2 linked regions of the Drosophila melanogaster genome follow. The protein of the gene in region 1 purifies or fractionates together with the protein of each later gene. This does not show direct contact. Each region holds a gene or a part of one and is shown in the gene's direction. Other genes may lie near its edges.

What was found.
Region 2: the proteins of lin-28 (region 1) and Tre1 purify together in Drosophila melanogaster (affinity purification with mass spectrometry, with the first as the bait; one large-scale study listed by BioGRID). This does not show direct contact.

The regions. Positions count from the first base shown.
Region 1 is NT_037436.4:5,652,856-5,656,609, forward strand, and holds the start of lin-28 (lin-28), read left to right. Parts: upstream 1-1,825; 5' UTR 1,826-2,124; coding exon 2,125-2,191; intron 2,192-3,463; coding exon 3,464-3,600; intron 3,601-3,749; coding exon 3,750-3,754.
Region 2 is NC_004354.4:5,678,065-5,681,818, reverse strand, and holds the start of Tre1 (trapped in endoderm 1), read left to right. Parts: upstream 1-1,841; 5' UTR 1,842-2,159; intron 2,160-3,754. Other genes in the region: Gr5a (gustatory receptor 5a), read right to left, coding at 1-3, 66-334, 402-596, 658-918, 984-1,092. UniProt on the Drosophila melanogaster protein: Essential for the first active step of germ cell migration: transepithelial migration of germ cells through the posterior midgut (PMG) epithelium.

The DNA.
Region 1 (3,754 bases):
ATGCCCGGCTGCACTTCCCCAAACTTCAATTGCATTGCCTGTGTGAATGGCAGGACGCCTTGTTAATCCTGTTCCAATTACGCACATGTGAGTGCCTGCCATCCGTTGCATCCCTAATGGGCACTTTCGCTCTCGCCGCGTCCTTTGTCCCTTTGGCCGGCTTTGTCCATCGACCACTGGCCAGCGGATTGAGATTGGGAGCGGCTTAGGGCAGCCAAAATATTGATTACAGACTGTGCGACGGCTGGCTCACGATGCATTGTTTTGGGTTTTTTAGCATTTATTTACTATTGATAAAACATCAAACTGACCCTCAGTGACCCCTCAGGCATTAACAGCGCTCGCCCTTCGGAAATTTCTGATGATTTTCATCTTGTTTGGGCCTCGATTGGTTCATATTACCTTTTTATTTGCGTTACCAATTTTTTACATTGATACCAAAACAAGCTGTGAAACATAAAATATTACTTATAACAATCCTAGTTTTTAAAAACAAATCCTTTTCATAACAAGTCTTCCGTTTATCTAAATGTTGTCAGTAGCAGAAGTTGTTCATTAGATAAACTAAATATTCGAAAACATTTCTGCGACATAGTTATTTATAAATTAGGTCGAACAACTAATTTTAATTTGCCCTACTAATTTCTGGTAATTTTACAAAAATATTCTTCCAAATTTATCCTTCGAAAACATTTTTACTGCAAATCGATCCTGGTCTTGCCAAATTTACGAACCACAAAATGTTCATCTGATGCCTCCCCTGTGCATTTGATCCTCGATACAGTTTCCGCCCTCGGATCGACTGTCATCAATGGCATTGGTCATCGATTTGGCACGCCAGCGTGGCACGTGCCGAAATTAATTGCTACAATCCGGAGTCGCAGGACGAAAAGGGAGGAAGAGGCAGGACGAGCGTTCGCAAATATGTTGCACAATGCAGCTCGGGGGTGCATATTTCATATCAGCCGGCGAGGGGTTGAAATGCATCGAGAATTCACAGCTGCCCGGCACGCGACTTAAGCGAGGGTTGCAGAACGCCAGTTGTGGTGCAGTTTTTTAGTGCAATTTTTTTGGCAGTCACCAATGGGAATAGTTCGCTTTTTAGCGGCATCTTTTTTTTAGGGAAGTGATCAGCCTATCAGGATAAAGCAGGATTCGGGGTGATTAAGTATTTCATTTTATAAATTATTTCTATTTGCACTTTGAGTGAAAAATGGAGGTACAAAGATTTGTTCCTAGATTGGCTATAGTTTTAATAATTTCTCGAATGGTCATTTTAAAGATAGTTACAATTTGAATTTAAACATTTTGGAATTTAAACTATAAGTGCTTACCTATGAGGCTAACAATATAATTGTATAATTGCTAATATAGTCATAAAAAAGTTAATTAAAACCTATTCAGTCTAGTTTGTATAACAGTTTAGTTTCTCAAGTATCCTGAAGTGCGCTAGTCTCACGCACTTTTTTAGTGCCATACAGATGCAGATACATCCCAATCCGAATCCGAAAGTGTGCTCGGCATTTAGGTTCTGAGGTCTTTTTAGTCGACATAGATAAATTTGGCTCTCACTCTAGCGCTCTCTCTCTGCACGTTTTTCGGTGTTTCTCCCCGCGATCGTCATGTAGAGTATCTGTCAGATACATTTACGCGCTCAACTCAAATCGAAACCGAAACGGTGCGAATTCACTCAACTTTCGGCTCGGCGTTTTCCACGCTCACTCACCGACACACCAAGCACACACACACAAGCGCAGAGTCGAATATTGTTTTCAAGATACTGAGCTAAATATTTTTCGGGCCTGCTGCGACCTTCCTAGAAATAGTCAAACGCAACGCGGAGTCAGTGTGACGAAGTGCGTCGTGCGCAGCGGCAGCGTTTTCCTAATTTCCCCTTCGCTGAACCCAAAAATTCGAGAAAGTGCTGTAGCTGTGTTAGTGCGGGCAGTGAAAGATACAGATACAAATACAGATACGGATCTTTGGCCACATGTCTGTTCGTTGGCAGGAAAAACATGCATTTGCAGTGAAGTTTTAAGCAACATTGAATTTTGGAGCGAGTAATCAAACAATTGAAGTGGATTTTAAACTAAGAAAAATAAACTAAAAACCCAAGAAGTCAGCATGGAGAACGTACAGCTGGAAAATGGCTTGGAAAGGAGGACCACCAGCCAGAGTTCCACTTCATCAGGTTTGTTTAGAATATGGAGTAGAGTGAAACTAATTTCCAGCTAATGCATGAACGTCACACGAACGAACGTCTACATTCCCCGCTGCCCACAACAAACGTGTTTTGTGTTCCAAAAAAAGCGACAACAAATTCAATAGGAAATCTTATCAAACTGATTGCTGATTGGCTGTGCGATCGCCCTAATATTTGGTTTCTGTTTTTGTCTGGTTTTTTTTTTTTTTATACTGCGCAGTTCTTTTTTTGCTGGCGTATGTTTTTCTTGGTTTCTGTTGTGTTTTTGCCATTCGCTGATTTGATTTTTTATTGGTAAATTGGGGGGTTTCTATATACAGAGGTGTCATCAACCCCCGAACATTGACCGACTTACCATCACACTTCGATCAAGGACACAGGCAGTCCAGTTGAGGATTATCCTCGCCTCAATGCATTTGAGGCATTAGATCTGCGCAGACTTACAAACCTAATTGAACGGGGAAACCAGTTTGCGGCTTACCTATAAGAAAAGGAAAAGGACACCCAACCATCCCAAAAGGATAATCATGTAATGGTGGTGGTTTGAGTAAAGAATGAAAGATTTTCATTCAATTAGGTTTCTTATCAGACGCAAAAGAATTTCCAAGATCTTAAAAGTCCATTCACGTTCTCGCTGGAAATGAGTAAGAAAATGCTTGAGCAGCACAACGACCTAGAAATGCCAGCGCAACCCCCGAAAATGAAAATTTTAATTCCAGATAAGCCAGAGCACAGGCATGAGAATGCATTCCGAGTATCTGGGCATCTGGGCAATACTACGAGTACACTCAAGTACTAGGGCCCACTTCGACAAATATATAGATAAGCTGGCAGCGAAATGGGAGCGAGCGAAGTGAAAACAATTTATGAATGAATGAATGAATGAATGAATGAGCCAGCCCAAATGGATATGGGCTGGTGCGAGTGTGTGAGTGAGATGAGCCCCTGCTTAGATAATGGAATGAATCCACTCCGCCGCGCCGCTCGTTCAGTTATTTCCGAATATTTCTTATAATAACAACGAAACCTGTTTTCTGCCCTCAATGGGCGTTGAGTTGGGATGGGGACGTGGAGGGCTAGAGAAGAACCTAACCCAAGTTGAACTTGCCTCGCGGCAAATGGGGCAAGGACACGATGAATGTTGTTCAGCTGCCTATTTGCCGCTTGGTCATTTGAATAACAAAACCTTGAACAGAGGGATTCCCAGACAGGATATCGAATTGGGCACCGAACTCAAGTTTCATTTTCTATTCCCTCCAGCGAATCCGGCAAATCTTGCGAGTCCCACCGAGGAATGCGGTTGTGTGCGACTGGGCAAATGCAAATGGTTCAACGTGGCCAAGGGATGGGGCTTCCTTACACCCAACGACGGCGGCCAGGAGGTGTTCGTCCATCAGGTGGGTACTCTCTTTCTTGGATGAAACTGAGGTCTTTCCTTAATGCAAGGCCTTATGTACTATCCGATAGAATATGGAAAATCGGTATAATAATTTAATATTTAATGCATTAATTCAATATAATTCTCATTATAAACGTATGCATATAGAGCGT
Region 2 (3,754 bases), on another chromosome or scaffold:
GGGCTATAAATATCCATCCTCGATCATGATGGATGTGTGTTAGGAAAGTTAGTTAGTTAGCCCACCTGTCGCACCTGCTGCTCCAGGCTGCGGTTCAGCCTGGCCAACATCTCGCTGAGACCCATGCCCAGCATCATTAGGAATATGTCCATGTAACTCCAGCCGAAGGTGAGCAGCACATTCTGGATCTTGCCCAGCCAAGCCAGCCAGTTGGAGTAGGGGAACACTTCGAATAACTGGGCACTGGCGCCAAGCAAATAGGATTCCACGGGATCGCTTCTTCGTGGGCAGAAGTCGTAGTAAACCACCGAAATGATGCTCAGCAGGTGTTCCACTGGAAAAAAAAGCACGCCCGGTTATACTCAGCGAAATCCAAACCCAAACAAATTTGGTGACCCAACTCAGTGAAACTACCAGCAGCACGAAGGCCACCAACTTGAGGCGACGGGCAGGACGAGCACGTTGCAGGCAACAGGTGTAGCCCGGTAGCCGTCGCTCCACCGCCGCCCAGTGGCGCATCAATCCAGGCCAGAGTTGGGCCAGGTTCAGGAACTGCCAGGAGGCGATCAGGATGCTAACGTGAAAAACGATGGGCTCTAAATGGTAATTAACATATGCAATTGGTATGTTGCGAAGAAAAGCATCATTTAATCTCACCCACACTGCGCACATCCAGCACACTGTGGGCCACACGGCGAATGCTGAAGGCCAGATCCACCGACGTGGAGCAGAGGTACAAGGAGCTGTACCAGAATCGCCAGCTGCGCCGATTGAAGCTTAATCCCCTGTACGTTGGAGCACTGATTCCACACACGGGCATTAGGCAAAAGCACTGGGCCACCGCCAGAACTGGAGCAACTGCCTCATGGAAGGAGCCATCGTGTAGGAAGTTCTTTCGCGTTCCCCGCACCTGGCTTTCTGGATTGTAAAAGGTAATTAAGATGAACGTACTCATGGGATTCTAACGATTTGGATAGATTCACCTCGAATTTGTTCCAAACCGCTTTTAAGATTTTTCAACCACATCTTGCCCTGAACTTTCAGATGCCGAACAGCACGATTGCACCGATTTCGCCCTTTCAGCTGTCGCATTGTGTACAAGCTCTAAATCCTGACTAAACGGCAAAAATGCAGCAGGATATCATAGAAGTCCACATGTTATCAACTAATGGCCAGTGATGAGGAATAAAACAGGTCCGTGTATGATATTTGTAAGTAAATATACTTTTTATGTACATCTATTTGACGTGCATCTGGTTTTTAAGAATTTAAAATAGTGCTCTTAGTGGATAATATTAATTTAATACGTTCTGTTCAAATATTTATACATTTGGCATCACTTGTAACGAGTATTTAATTAGCGCGACCTTGAAACTGAATGGCTCCACAACATGCAAATTGGCAGCACACTCCATCAGTTATGAACTTGGCACTACTACTTGGAAAATTATATGATAAATGATTGCTTGGTCAAAAGAAACTATGTGCAGCTGTCGCTTGGCGCAAAATTGATTGCGCATAGATGAGCTGAAAAAAAGTCATCATCATAAAAATGTGGCATTAAAAACTAACTAACTAACCGCAAGTGAATAGAAGTGAGTATAGAACGAGAGTACTAAATTTCTTTTTTATTTCAAGGAATTTAATTTCTTTGCAAGCTACTTTTCTACAAATATCCTTTAAGGCGGGCTTAGAATTTCAAAAATCGATAGGCGCCTGCGCAGCGCGTCAATCGATAGAACGCCGATTTCTTAGATCAATAGAAAAGTTCGCATCGAACTTGTTGCCAGGCAGCCAACATGTTCGATCGCGCTCGGACTAAAAAACTGTAGCCCAGCCGCTCATTTCGTTTGTTGTTCTTGTTGCCGCTGTTGTTAATTGACGACAGTGAAAATACGACACTTTGCGCTCTGCGATCGGTTAGTTAAGTTGGCTTAGTTGGCCCAAGCAGCGCTTCTGTTTCGATAATTCAAAAGTCGGAATTGTGAGAAGGCCAGAATCGGCTGGTTGTATTTATTTTGTTCCGTTTATTTTTGTTACTGTGCTGCGCGGAGCGATTTAATGTCAAATCCAAAATGCAATTCGAAAGCATTTAAGAAACGCCAAACGAAGTATAAATTTATAATAAGCGGAAAACAGTGAAACGGGTTCGAGTTCGGGTGAGTTGTTGTTTTGTTATTATTTTCGTTGGTTTTTTGCGTGCGTGTGTGTGTGTGTGTGTTTCTCTTTCAAGACCAGAATCCAAATCCGGCCAAAAAAACGGCCTTACCTTTGTTAACAATTTGAGTTGCGCGTTTTTATTGTTATTGCATTTGGTCCAAACGCACACACAGAGAAGCGCAAACTGCACGCGCGCGTGTGTGTGTGTGTGTGTGTGCATTTGTAATGGAACGATAATGGAACGGCTGTTTCCACAATTCAAAATATGGCCATCCTTCTCGCTCACATCCCAAATCCCGAATTCCACCCTCTCACAAAACAAAAAAAAAAAAAATCAGCAAAGAGGGGAGAAAGAAGTGGATGGGCAAAGAGGATGCATCGGTACACCGAGAAAAACAAATCTACATTAGGCAGCCAGCCAATTAAGGATAATACCCAAATATCGCAATCTTAAATTCATTTGCTTATGCTGTTGAATCTTTTCAGATTTCAAATTGAAAATTTTTGTGAATGTGACATTCCTTGAGTCTCATCGAATTTTTAAACAAATGAGTCATTTGTTTATTTGCACAAAATGAGCCAGACTTGGGAAAAATAAATTGGAAATGGAAATGAAAGTCAGGCTTATAAAGTCTTTTGTTGTTATTTAAACAGATTGTTTGATACCGCCGCTTCCGATTTGCTTTCTCTTTCGCTCTTTCTTTCTTCCCTGTCCAAACATCAGCTGCATGAATCATCATCTTCATCCCCCATCCCCATTCGCCCCCTCCCCCCACCCTTTAACCCACCGCAACAGTTGGTAGCGACTCATTCAGCTCAAGTCTCTTAAAAACGACGAAAAGCAAAGAAAAACCCAGCTCCAAAACGATCCACAATACACATGTGCACTATCTACATATGTACATATGTATGCTCGGGCTTATTCAGTGTATATTATATATACTCGTACTATATATGTATGTATGTACATACATACCCCCCATATCGGAAACTTATTTGGTATTTAGCTTTCGATTAGTCAGCGAAATGCAACAAAAGTGGGAAATATGTATTTCTCGTGCACCGACACGATCAGAAAATAAAATAAAACGGAAGATAATATCGAGTAATTCTCAATATTAAAACAGAGGTCCTAACTCAAGAAACCCCAAATAACTGCACATTGATCTTAAATTTGATTTACTGCATAGGTATTTTCCGAAAACCCATTTAATCCCAATGTAATTAGAGTCGTTATAATACATTTTATCTATCATAATGTTTAAAAAGATGACATGAGATTATGCCGATTTAATTGATATCACGACCAACACAATCGGGGCATTCACAGCCTTATAAACGGGGCTAGATAAAAACGGGCAGATATTGATCAGAGGAACCCTTTAAGAAAATACATATGTACAAATGCGTCTAACCTTATTTGCATTCGACTTTCCGCCCGCTACATAAATACTTGATTGTAAATATTTGTTGATTGATTATTTATAAAGCTTCGTTCCGCCTTTTTTTTTGGACGGTGGGAACCCGAGGCTGATAAGACTTTGATGTAAATATGTATATATGTACATAGCGCATATCGTATTCCTTATGTGCT